Bombyx mori: one gene and its partners. The protein of the gene in region 3 binds, or shares a complex with, the protein of the main gene of each other region. Links are inferred from orthologs where the notes say so. Each region holds a gene or a part of one and is shown on either strand. Other genes may lie near its edges.

Region 1 (4,052 bases), on a different chromosome or scaffold from region 3:
AACTTCCTATTAACTTTCCCCACTAAAACGGTAGTCTACTTGCTTGGATCTTTCATAAACGCTAATAGTATAAAATTGTAGTTCCTACTAACTGTTTAATGCAAAAAAAATTAAACTAAATAGGTCTTAGCATAATTATGTTGAGATATAGCACTAGCTGCGTGTCGCCGCACTAGTAATGTTGACTTGTTACCATGGATACATTCTCTACTTAATAAGATTGTGTCATGTGAATAAAATATAATTTGTGATATTAAAAAACCGAGTCTGCTTATTCTTCCACATAAAATCTTAACAAATTATGTTGATACCTCCACTACCCGACGTTGGCAAAGTTGTATTTAAATCTAAGTAACAAAAGCCAGAAAGAAAGAAAAAGAAAACTATTTAAGTCAACTAAATAGTGACGTTGCACCGACACATGTGTAATATATTTATTAAATAATCTTCTGATGATATGTGCTATAAACAAGGATTTTCTCCGTATAACATAAGAAGCTTTAAAATTTGATCGTCAGATAATTTCTTCACCATTTTTAAGTAATTTATTCGCCCCAGTAATCCGCAAAAACAACCAACACGTGCTTACTGTGTCAGCACTGGAATGGCACTGGATCCAGGTGCACTGGATTGGTCGCACTGAATTCAAAAGTAGACCGCCAATCCAGTTACTGGACTGGAATGCTAACTGGATTCAGTGCATCCAGTGCCAGTTTACATTTTTCCAGTAAGCAATCCAGTGCTGGATTCGATCACTGGACTGGAATAGTGTAAACCGGGAATTATTTTATACAAAGAGTAAAGTTCAAACTTTTTTTTAAGGGATTTTATGACCCGGTGACTAAGACTTTTAAGTCATGTCTTATTTTAATTTTTTTTTTGAATTCTTATTTTTATGAAAAATAATGAAATGAAATGAAGATTATTTGTTTGAGACATGAATCAACTTGGATGAAATCAAATGAAGTGAGATGAGATGATATGGGATGAAATATAATCTCAGTAAAATGGTGCTAATTTACTGAGATTTTTTCAGTGGACTTTTTAGATGATCCCAAGAAGTAACGTCCAGCGGCTTTGTTTCATTTTCCCACATTTGTGCACTTTCATAGATATTAAACAGTTAATAAACCACCATTATTACATATTTAAACCCGAAGAAACACTAAATAGACAAAATAAAACAAATGACACAACTTCACTCCTCGCGTTCCCGCCAAAAAGTCCATTTCAAACTTTATTGTCCATTTTTTTTTTTTTTAAGAGATTTTATGACCTGGTAACTAAGACCTTTAAGTCATGTCTTATATTCTTAATTTTATGAAAAATGATAATATGGAGTGAAATGAAATGAAGATGATTAATTTGAAACATTAATCAACTGGGATGAAATTAAATGAAATGAGATGATATGGGATGAAATATAATCGCAGTAAAATGGTGGTCATTTACTGAGATTTTTTCAGTGGACTTTTTGGAGGAACCCGAGAAGTTACGTCCAGCAGCTTTGTTTCATTTTCCCACATTTGTGCACTTTCACAGATATTAAACAGTTAATAAACCACCGTTATTACACATTTAAACCTGAAGAAACACTAAATAGACAAAATAAAACAAATCACACAACTTCACTCCTCGCGTTCCCGCCAAAAAGTCCTTTATTGTCCAGTGTCCACATTTAGCATAGATTATTCAATGCATTTAGTCATTTATTAAATTTCGCGTAGTGATGGTTTAAGTATCCCAGTTTTTACTTGTTAACGTTGGCATGTAAATTTAAGAAGAACATAATTCCTAACAGCTGCATTTGTAATTAAAATTTCTTTCTTGAGTTAACTTCTTCCGTCAAAGATCTTATACATAATTATTATTCTGAAAGACATGTACCGATAACTTTGTAACCTTTCGGTGTTTTGTTGAAAGCGTAGTTTGGATGCTCCAGTGCTTAGCTAGTTTTTTGTATAAAGGTGACCGTCAATCCAAGCGCATGTTCGAGGAAAATATAATCACGGAAATGGCCGATTCGCAAGTCGCCAACATAGTGAATGAAATATTGGTAAATATATTTTTCTTGGTTAATAATATATTGGTAAATATAAAGGTAAACGTTCTACTGTGCCCTGCATCTGTGAAAATAATAGGTACTGACAAAAAAATTACTCACATGATCATCTACATTAATTATGAACAAAATGTTGTTTACTATTGTTTGTTTTTCATGAATAAAACCTACAAATAATCGAACTTGTTTCTTAGTTGCAAACATGGACTCATGAGCTGATGGTAAGTTGTACTTCGAGATCAGAGGTTTTATGAATAAAAATTAATTTCATCTCATTCATTACGCGCTGAATATGTACTGTTCTGCGTTTATTAATATTTGTGTCCACGTGCTTATTGTATGTAGCTGGCTTGATGTGAAGGTTGATTGCTTCATTTATGTTTAGGTTTAAAGCATCTAGCGTGTTTACAATGTGTAATAAATTTAGTCTAACATGGAACGTAAGGACTAAGTATCAAATGAATAAAAAAGCAATTATGTTATGAAAATAACAGAATATTTCAAATTTCATTAAAACTATGGAATTGTCAACTCTATTTTACTGTTGCCAAGTTAACCTTATGCATTTGTTTCAGTTTTTAAGATAAATTAATATCTCAAATATTTGTTTTATTCTGAATTAAACTTTGACCGATGGGCTAGATTTATCACAGAATGTAAATTGTACATAGCACTGTAGCAAATGATAAAATTTGTAAAGGGATTAAACTAGAAACCTTGTTTTTTAATCAACTAAGACATCTTAAAGTATAAAACTATTGATAAATAAAATTTGCAGTGTCAGAACACCAAACTGTGAATTGGCAGCAATATTAAATAAAACATATTAATAGTACATTCAGTATATTGAAATAATATTTAAAATGCTGTTTGAAAATCTTTTACAAACTTCTTACAATAAAAAAACAATGAATGAGAATATTAAAATAGCTTTTTTAAATTACTCAGTTTAGAATTTTTAGTCTTATTTAATATTTAAGCATAATTTGCATTATGAACACATTTTCGTTTTTGCAAATTTTGTATATTCTTGAAACCTCTGATGTTCTTGAAATATTTTATGTGCTTATAATTGATGTATATGTTTGTGTTATGTAAGTGTTGTATACAGTTTTCATAAAAGTACTGAAAAATGTAAACAATTCTAAATTAGTGATCATCCTTGTTAACCTTCATGAAATAACATAAATTTAAAAAGGTCAATTATTTTAATTCAGCAGTAAAAAAATTTAAATATATTTGTTGTTTCCTTAATTGGTAACAAAAATTATCTAACTTATTTTTATATATATTGTTTACAGTTATCTGCACGTTTATTTAAACAGTACTTGTCTTGTCTCAAAACTTGCAGCTTTTTACTGATAAAAACTGTAAATCAATAAAAAATGTAACAATATTTTACAAACAGTATTAAGTAACTATTATAAATACATAAATAGATAAATTTACCAAACACATAAATAGATTATATAAATACATAAATAAATTACCTATTTTCATTCTTACTGTTATCAAATTCAAACATTAAAATTACTGGTCATAATTTAAGTCAATTTTGGGTCCTTTCATTTACCAACAATTTTCAATTATTTTAGAAGTGTGATTAAGAAATTTGCATCTGGGCATTATAATATCTTCCCATACTGTGTCCCCTACATTATTAGAGATTGGCAACAATTAAAGTTCTCCTATATGCTCAAGAGACAAATGGAAATTAATTACAGTAACTAAAGCGCTCATTTCTCCATTGTTGTGTCCTTAGTGAAAATAGCCTTTATAGATATTTTAATTATGTTACATTACATATTAACATACATAATCACTCGAGTTGTGAATTTATAGAATAACAGTGGAAAAAATAAGACACTTCCATATAATGAAATTGGAAAAGGGGTTTAAGATCAATATCAGCTGTATGTGACTTGGTGATTTGGGACACATGTGTTCTACTACCATCTCAGATACAAGCCCCTCTAATGTTCCTGCTTCT
Region 2 (3,218 bases), on a different chromosome or scaffold from region 3:
GAAACTTTTTCAGTAAACTTTTTAGACGATCCCGAGAAGCAACGTCCAGCAGCTTTATTTCATTTTCCCACATTGGTGCACTTTCACAGATATTAAATTATTAATAAACCACCGTTATTGTTAAGTTACACATTTAATCCTGAATAAACACTAAATAGAAAAATAAAAAAATAAAAAAACTTCGTTCCTCGTATACCCTGTCAGAAACAAAATAACACACAGCAACACACTCTTAACTCATATTTTAATATACGTACGAACCATAGAAAATGATTCGGATAGAGCCTGCTACTGATGTTTCGAAGTGCCATTTGGCGTTCTTAAAATCTGATGCGATTTCAATACTAAAACGTATCACTACAGAGCTTCTTGATTTAGAAAGAATGGGGTATTTTATTACCGTAGCACCTCTGATTGATATATTTTTAATTAATTAAAATCACTAAGCACATATTATAATTAGTTGAGTAAAAACAATTACCTTCAGCGTGAATAAACTTAGTAGAATTTTAAAACTTTCGTAGAGTCGGGCCTAAAATTTATGCAGAATATAATGATAGGTAAGTAGTTTAAAAAATTTCTATTTTCTTAGTCGATTCCAAAATCTTGGCAGAAATAGGAGAAGATAACTTGTCTGAGTTGTGCTATTTTCTTAATCCAGTGTTTCTACAAGTTTAATAAATAGCAACGGTTTCGTATTCGTGAAAGTGGATAAGATTAAGAAAATGGAACCAAGTTGTTGAACTTGGTTTTTCAAGCGTTTCTAAAAAGTTAAGTGACGAGTAAACTCTCACTATTGTTCAGACTGATTAATTTATTTCGTCCCATAAAACACCGATGGTCATATAATTTCATTCAAATTCATTTTATTTCAAACATTTTTTTCATTTTATTTTACTTTTCTTTAACAGACATTACTACAGCCTTTGTAAAAAAAAGATGTGTGGTGTCGTGGGACACCGGATAGGAACGAAGTTCCTTATTATAAAAATATTAATTTCAAGTTCTATTCGAGGTCTAAAGAAAATAATTATTCAGGTATACATTTTTATTATTTTATTTTTTATTGATAAAAATATAATAATAATTACATTACAAAGTTATCAACTTTATTTTATTCACAATGATTTATAAAAAATTATAATAATAATATACAAAGAAACAGCTATTTATACGAATTATAATAATAACCGTCATCACGTAGACTATACATTAGACACTGTATAGCCATCGTACTAAGAATATACATAAAAAGAGAAAGGTATTATACACTACTCGCTTGTGTATATGACTGTCGCGCCTGCGCACGTCTTATTTAACGGTTTTATTCCACGGACTTTTTCTTACGGTTTTACTATCACATTTTTTTCAGTTCGGACGTGCAGCAAAATCCCTATCTCCTCCAAGCCTGCCGTAAAGAACTTCGTTCCAAAAATTTCGTGTATGAGCTTTATTTCCTTTGCTTGTCGAACACCGATCACACAAACATTCGACTTATTCTCCGCGATTTCGTCCATAGTCCATTGCTGTCCATAGATAACACAATAACACATCATTATTTTTGTCGTTTTCGGTTTTGTGATGGTAAAGAATCTACCTACTTTTTTACGTACCTAGGTTTATGTGTTTAATAACCATAATCTAATAAATTTATAAATTAATAAACAACGTACGTATAATAAAATCTGTTACATAATAAGCAAGTGAAAAATTGTGCTTAAAATTTGTACAATGGAAAACAACACAGATCATTCAGAACAGACGAACTACAGTCCCCTGACTGTTGAGGATGTAGATGTAGACTTTTTACCGATTGTATACGATATAATACGAAGGTATTTTGCGTATTATTTGAGACAAACTAGATTTGCTCAAGTTCATTTTGTATTTTCTGGTGCTTTAAATGTTTTTATTACAGCGTGGAGAGAGATTTTCACGACAACGCGTCGAAAATACGCGAGTCCCACGAGTGCAGTCATAGAGTTCTTGAATTACAAAAGAGGCTAGAAATAGCTAAAGCTCAGGTGAGATTACTTTCAAATACTGGAAACATACTTGGTATTTAACATTTGTAATGTAAAAATAATATGCTAAGTCAGCATAATTTTTGTATTTTGAGGAATCAAATTTATCATGAACTCATACACAAGTATCTGCCATAATATATCATCAACCAGTACACAATTATCTGCAATAATATATCACTCATTTCAGATCAGGAGGCTCCCAGGTATAGAATTCAACAAACACGACCAGCTGAAGCAATTTGAACTGCTCCGCACTCAGCTGAGATTAAAGCGTGAACTCTTACAGAAGTATCGGAATATGTGCTCATTTGAGACATCATTCAAGTGAAGATGCCTCTACGTGCGCTGCTTAAATACTTAGCCAATAATGAACGAATTGTACAGAAGATTGCAGAGTCCTACCCTGTACGAAGAGCAGCTCAGTTAGCTGTCTCAGTATTTTACAGAGGGAAGGAAAAGCTCTCTGATGTTGATCCACAGAAAGTTAATAAATTTATAGAGTTTTTAAAAAGGTTCAGTGCAAATTTGAAGGAAGGAGTACAGGATGCAAAAAAACAACTGAAAAAATAATAATAGTTCCTTGGATGTTTTTGGCTAACCATGGATTAGTTGCTGTTGATTGTAATTCACTATCAGTAGTGTCCTTTACATAATATAACTACTAAATTAGATAATAAAAAACTGTAACATAGTTAGAGCTATTTTTATTTCACTCACTCTGAACAAATCAATAAAAATATAAACTTTACTTAATTCTAAGAAAAAATCACAATATTGCAATGGTATTCATTGTAAATGTCAAAATATTGAAAATATATTTACTTTTAGAAAGCAGCTAGCTTCACTAATTTTATTGCGATTATAAGGTTTTCAGAGTTAAGGCAATGATGATTCAAAACTCTGATCTCATTAACTTTAATTTTTATTTTTAAGTGTTCAAATATTTTAAGTGACCCTAAAAGATTAAGCTTAGTGCTGTAAAAATATATACTTGAGTTTTAATTAGTGTTATAAGAACCTCGAGGTTATTAGTGATTTAACTTGCGAAAATATGCCGACCCATTGTGACAGGTGGATTAGCGGTATGGCTTGAGGCTGTCTAGATTAATCAGTGTCACTACGTCCCCAGAAAACGACAGGAGTTCTACCCTTGGTAGTAAAACTACTAAATTGTACTATGCAACAATCACT
Region 3 (5,597 bases):
AACTGATATTAGATTATCCTTTAGTAATAATGAATCAACACTTGCAGCATTTTTAGATATACATGCTGCTTACGATAACGTCGATCTTCACATATTAAAGCTAAAACTCCTTAAGCTCAATGTTCCCTTTTTGATTACTAATTTTATTATTAATTACTTGTCTGGTAGAGTAATAACTATGGATACGGGCGATTCAAACCATAAATCTAGAACTTTATGGAAGGGCTTACCCCAGGGATGTGTTATTAGCCCTACTTTGTATAACATTTACACACATGACCTAGATAAAGCAATTCAAATACCTAATGGTGATTCTAATAACGTGTCTATATTACAATATGCAGATGATCTAGTTTTATACGTTTCAGGGCGATCTGTTTTAGAATTAAGTGACTTTTTAAGTCGAGCACTGTCCAAACTTAAATTTTGGCTTGTCTCCAACGCTCTTAATCTTTCTGTTTCAAAAAGTTGCATTGTGTTATTTTCTAGAATGCGGCTTCCTCCTCCTGTTTCCGTATATTTTGATAATGAACTTATTCCATCTGAAAATGAAATAAAATTTTTAGGAGTTATTCTAGACGCCAAATTATCAGGTTTATCACATTGTTATTACGTTATAGCTAGATGCGAACGAGTTTTGAATATTATGAGATGTTTAACTGGAGTCTGGTGGGGTGGACATCCATATAATCTAAAGCTCCTATACAACGCTCTCATACGAAGTATTTTAGATTATGGTACTTACTTTCTTGAACCATGTAATGCAGTCGGACTAAATAAGCTTGATGGCATACAATCAAAAGCTCTCCGTTTAATAACCGGTGCAATGAAATCTAGTCCTATCAATGCTTTACAAGTTGAGTGTGTTGACCCTCCTCTGCGACTCCGTCGTCAATATCTTTGTGACAAGTTTCTGTTCCGTGCTCTACAATTTACCAAGCATCCCCTTCATACCAAATTATCTACTTTATCACATTTAGTTTCATCTTCCCCCTACTGGAGGCACAAGTCTCTACCTTGTTTAGTCGTGAGTTTTCGTAAATTTTCCTCTTTGCTTGCCCCCACTCACATGTCTCATCGTCTCTCTATTTTTTCTGCTGAATATGAAGCATTAACTCTTGTTCCTAAAATTCATTTTACCTTAGATATATCTCGATCTATTTTTTCTGCCAATATCGATTTTAATATCATCTTAGATAGAGAGTGGTCAGATCGACATTACATTTATAGCGATGCATCTAAAAATTCTTCCTCTGGTCTCGTTGGTGTTGGAGTTTATCATCAACAATCAAAAATTGTCCAAAAAATTAAACTTCCACCAGAAAGCTCTGTTTTTACTGGGGAATGCTACGGATTATTTAAAGCTATAGAATATGTTAATTTGATGAAATTACATAAATCTGTTATTTTTTCTGATTCCAAAAGTGCGCTTCAGGCACTTCAGAAATTTCCTTTCAAATCTTGCGCCAATTACCCTGTTATTGTAGATTGTAGAAAATTACTGTGGGAATGTAATTTAAAAGGTTTCGATGTAATTTTTGCCTGGATTCCTAGTCACGTGGGTATTTCTGGCAATGAATTTGCTGATAAACTTGCCAATGATGCTGTGGATTGTGGAGATATTTATCCATACAAAATCTTCATAAATGATCTTTTGTGTCTTCCGAATTCAGACCTGCGCGAATCTTGGGGACAAACATGGGCTATTTCTAGTCAATATAAAGGAAAGAATTATGCCCAAATACAATCTGTCATTCCTACCAAGCCTTGGTTTTACAATTTTAGATTTAATAAGATCACGACTACTATCATAATCCGGATGAGACTGGGTCATGCTTGCACTCCATCTCATTTGACTAGATTGGGTATAGTCAATAACAATATGTGTGATTGCGGCGCTGATGTTGGCAATTTAAATCATATTTTTTTCGCGTGCTCCTTAAATGACTGTTCCTCATTTATTGATTTATTAACATCCCTTGGTATTCCACTCCCGACTTCTATTAATACTTTGCTGTGTACTATGAACTATGATATTTATTTATGTATTTCAAATTTTATCCTGAAACATAATATCAAATTGTAATTATGTATATAAATACCTACCTGATCCATTCTTTTTAATTATCCGTTTTTTCCTTTTTCTCCTGTTTCCCTACCTTTACCCTTGTATGTGGCTAAATGCACAAACAGTGCAAGCTAAAAAAGAAAAAAAAAAAAAAAAAAAAAAAAAAAAAAAAAAAATGTCTATTTTGTGATTGGGCTATTATTATTCAAGTTTGATCATATAAAGTAATGTTTATTCTCAAATGCTCGCTATAAATAAAATATCTTTAAAAATGTGATAAACTTAATATGCCACACAAATATAACGAATTAATTTCAATATTCAACAGTGAACAAGAAAATGTAATTTGTAACCTCAAAGACTAGTAGTAAAGTGTTGTTTAAACGACTAATATCACGTCAAAAATGTGTGAAATGTAAGAAAGAAACATTATTGTGCTCTAATAAAATACAATAAAAATGGATGCTTCCAAAATAACGAGTAAAACTAGTTCACTAAAAGCTTTAATTTTAAAAGCTTGGAAAGAACGATGGACTGATATTCAATGGGGCATCAACATCAAAACTATACTGCCGAGGGGCGTCAGTGGTGACCTATATAATCTGGCTGATTGTATTCTTCAACAAGCCATGGTAGGCTGTGGGGCCAATCAGTTAGTGATATCGTATTTGAAACATTCACTTGCGTGTCATTTGGTCTCTTTCGCGGCTGTGTTACAACGAATCGCAAAATTTGATGCTTTTCACAAACCTCATTGTATAATAAGCTTGTTGGAGTTCCTTGAAACCTTTTTGGAGAGTATTACATGCAGAGGCAAGTTAGAAGAAGAAGTTTTAGCTTATGCTGTATCATCTATAATATTGTGGCTTTTACAAGTATTTCACTATTCATTAACCAAGTATCCAGCTTCAAGTTCTGTTCAAAGTCAGGAATTATTGGAGAAATCATCAGTTTTACTGAACTCTATTGTTAATACAGATTTTCTGATTGCAATGTTCTATTTGGCCAAGCAGAATGATCCTGATGAGTATAACGAAGTGACAAAGAAATGTCAAGAGATAACAGCATTTATGATGATGAACACTCAATTCAAACCTCCGATGACCATACATGTCACTTTACACAAAATCTGCAATATGGAATTGGATAAAATAGCACCCTTAAACAATAAACCAGAAGCTGTAACCTATTGTCTGCAGGCTTTAATAGCTATAAATGTGTTCTCAAACCCTAGTGCAGGCATGCAACAGATCTCCAGCCAACTACTAATGGTTCAGAAAATAAAAGGCTATTCATTGTCACGTCTCTACTGTGAACTTATTAGAGCTTGTTTCATTTCACTAAATGATTCTAGTAATGATGCATCGAAGCAATCATTGTGGGCTGCATTCACTTTTCTAAAAGTTCCACAAGTGATAAATCACCTCCATAATATGTGTGGGACAACAAATAAGGAAAGTGAATATTCTACTGAGGTTGTGGAAGCTTTTGAAATGTTATTACAATCAGCTCCACTCCTGGATATTGTTGATACGAAGAATTCTTGTAATAGTGTTATTTCACTTATAGAGCCATTAGTTAAACTTAATGTTCTGTCAGATAATACTTTGACATATTTTAAACAAAAACGTGAGACTATTGATCATCCTTTACAAAAATTTGAGCCAATAGGATTACAAGGCTCAGTCCCATTATTTATAACTCGTGTTGAACCTACATTGGCAGAGATTTTAAAAGCATTGAGTGGTGAATTTCACAAAACTCAAGAGTCGCTCTATATCATGCTATGCCAAATAGTTGGTCGAACTACATTGGATACCATCCTGGCCGTTGCAACTGTGGAAGGAAAACTAAAAATGTTTGTGTCAAGACTCATTAAGTTTAATGAATTTGCATTGTTTGCTGCAAGTGAAAAAGGTGCACCACAATCAAAAGTATATATATTTGACATTTCATTTTTGCTTTTATGTTGGATAGTCCAAGATTATGGAGCTGATGTTGTTCTAGAAGAAAATGGTGATTCATTTTTTGAGAAATGGGTAAGGGATTGTATGGTACATAAAGGAAATTATAAATCTTCAGATCAGATACTTCAGAAATGTGATCATGTTGTTGATGTTATCATTCACCATTTGAGTGCTCCTGACTTTGATTTCAAAAATACTAATGTCAAACCTCATGATCTTTGTATGAATATCACTGGTGCAGTCAAAGAGGTTCTTTTTGCTTGGGAACAAGGTCTACTTTCGGCAACAGATGTTAAAAGAATGTTGGATTCTATAAGACAAAAAATGGCTTCCTTGGCAGTGTGTGCATCAGTATGGCTTTGTTCATACATCAATGTTGTCCATCAAGATGCATCAATAAAACCCATGAATATGGTTCAGCAATTTTTAACATCACCTACTGAATTAGAATTAACTCAAATAGACAATTTTCAAGAAAGAGCAATTTTGATGTGTCAGATAATAAGAAAATTACTGTTTAAAATTCATCCTACCTCAATGCCAAAATCAAAAGAGCAGCAGTTGCCATACAGTATCACCTCTCGCAAGCCAATATTAGAGCAACTACAAAGCATTTGGGAAAATATAAAGTCTAGAGGATACCTTCATATTGATGCTACCCATCTCGTTGAGAATCTTTTGAACACAACTGGCCCAATATGGTTTGTGACGAACTTAGTGAAAGAGACATTAAAATTTCGGTACCAAGTAGATCTCGATAGATCTGTTGATATTGTGTTGGCGATGTTCCATTTGGACATAGAAAAGTGCACAGGAGCACTTTTATTACATGTTCTACCACAATACCTGTATAATTCTAAGTTGTCTGAAGAGCTAGTTGAACCCCAGTCTTCTGTATTAGCCAAGCTAGCAGTGTATTGCATATATGCTGCCTTAGATTACAGCAACACTAAAAAGTCGCATTTTTCGAGGAAGCGTCGTCATGACGAAGTTGAGGATTTGGATGCGATGTCGTCTAGTAAAATGCGGAAACTCAACGACAATACATCCGATGGAAGTGGTGTTTATTATTGTAAGGGACAAGGATATGAAATATCATTAAAAGAACCATTGTTGTCAGCTTTAGAAACGCTGTATGCGTCCTTTTCACAACTAGCTGGCAAGGACGGAAATATCACACCCCAAACACATTTTATACTTCAGTTCTTGATTTATGTGGTTCAATGTGGCCAAGATAGGGCCCAGTTAGTATTACAGAAAATGCCTAGTGAACTCGTACCAACTTTAATTAAAGCTCTACCTGACAATTTTAACATTGGTCTGATTTTACGCTTATATAATTTGAATACTGCTTACGGAAGAAAAGACACCGCGAGAGATCTATGCCTTTTACGAAATATGAGGTTAAGGCCAGAATAATAAATAAAAAATCATAGTAATAAATTAATAAGATAATTTATTTTAAGATATATATAATGAAATACATTAATTATTTTGATTTATTAAAAAAAAATCTTTTATTTTAGTTTTAAATATAGTCAGTATCAATTTTTACAGTTTTA

What was found. Proteins that work in one complex are often made in the same cells at the same time.
Region 1: mediator of RNA polymerase II transcription subunit 24 (region 3) and mediator of RNA polymerase II transcription subunit 23 share a complex: the UniProt entries of both Drosophila melanogaster proteins name them as parts of the mediator complex. The link is inferred for Bombyx mori from reciprocal best matches to the Drosophila melanogaster genes MED24 and MED23.
Region 2: mediator of RNA polymerase II transcription subunit 24 (region 3) and mediator of RNA polymerase II transcription subunit 9 share a complex: the UniProt entries of both Drosophila melanogaster proteins name them as parts of the mediator complex. The link is inferred for Bombyx mori from reciprocal best matches to the Drosophila melanogaster genes MED24 and MED9.

What each region holds. Positions count from the first base shown.
Region 1 is NC_085107.1:8,842,402-8,846,453, reverse strand, and holds the start of mediator of RNA polymerase II transcription subunit 23, read left to right. Parts: upstream 1-1,252; 5' UTR 1,253-1,933; coding exon 1,934-2,056; intron 2,057-4,052. UniProt on the Drosophila melanogaster protein: Component of the Mediator complex, a coactivator involved in the regulated transcription of nearly all RNA polymerase II-dependent genes.
Region 2 is NC_085116.1:15,850,796-15,854,013, forward strand, and holds mediator of RNA polymerase II transcription subunit 9, read left to right. Parts: upstream 1-1,454; 5' UTR 1,455-1,731; coding exon 1,732-1,835; intron 1,836-1,918; coding exon 1,919-2,024; intron 2,025-2,214; coding exon 2,215-2,355; 3' UTR 2,356-2,718; downstream 2,719-3,218. UniProt on the Drosophila melanogaster protein: Component of the Mediator complex, a coactivator involved in the regulated transcription of nearly all RNA polymerase II-dependent genes.
Region 3 is NC_085113.1:5,801,060-5,806,656, reverse strand, and holds the start of mediator of RNA polymerase II transcription subunit 24, read left to right. Parts: upstream 1-1,800; 5' UTR 1,801-2,526; coding exon 2,527-5,454; 3' UTR 5,455-5,597. UniProt on the Drosophila melanogaster protein: Component of the Mediator complex, a coactivator involved in the regulated transcription of nearly all RNA polymerase II-dependent genes.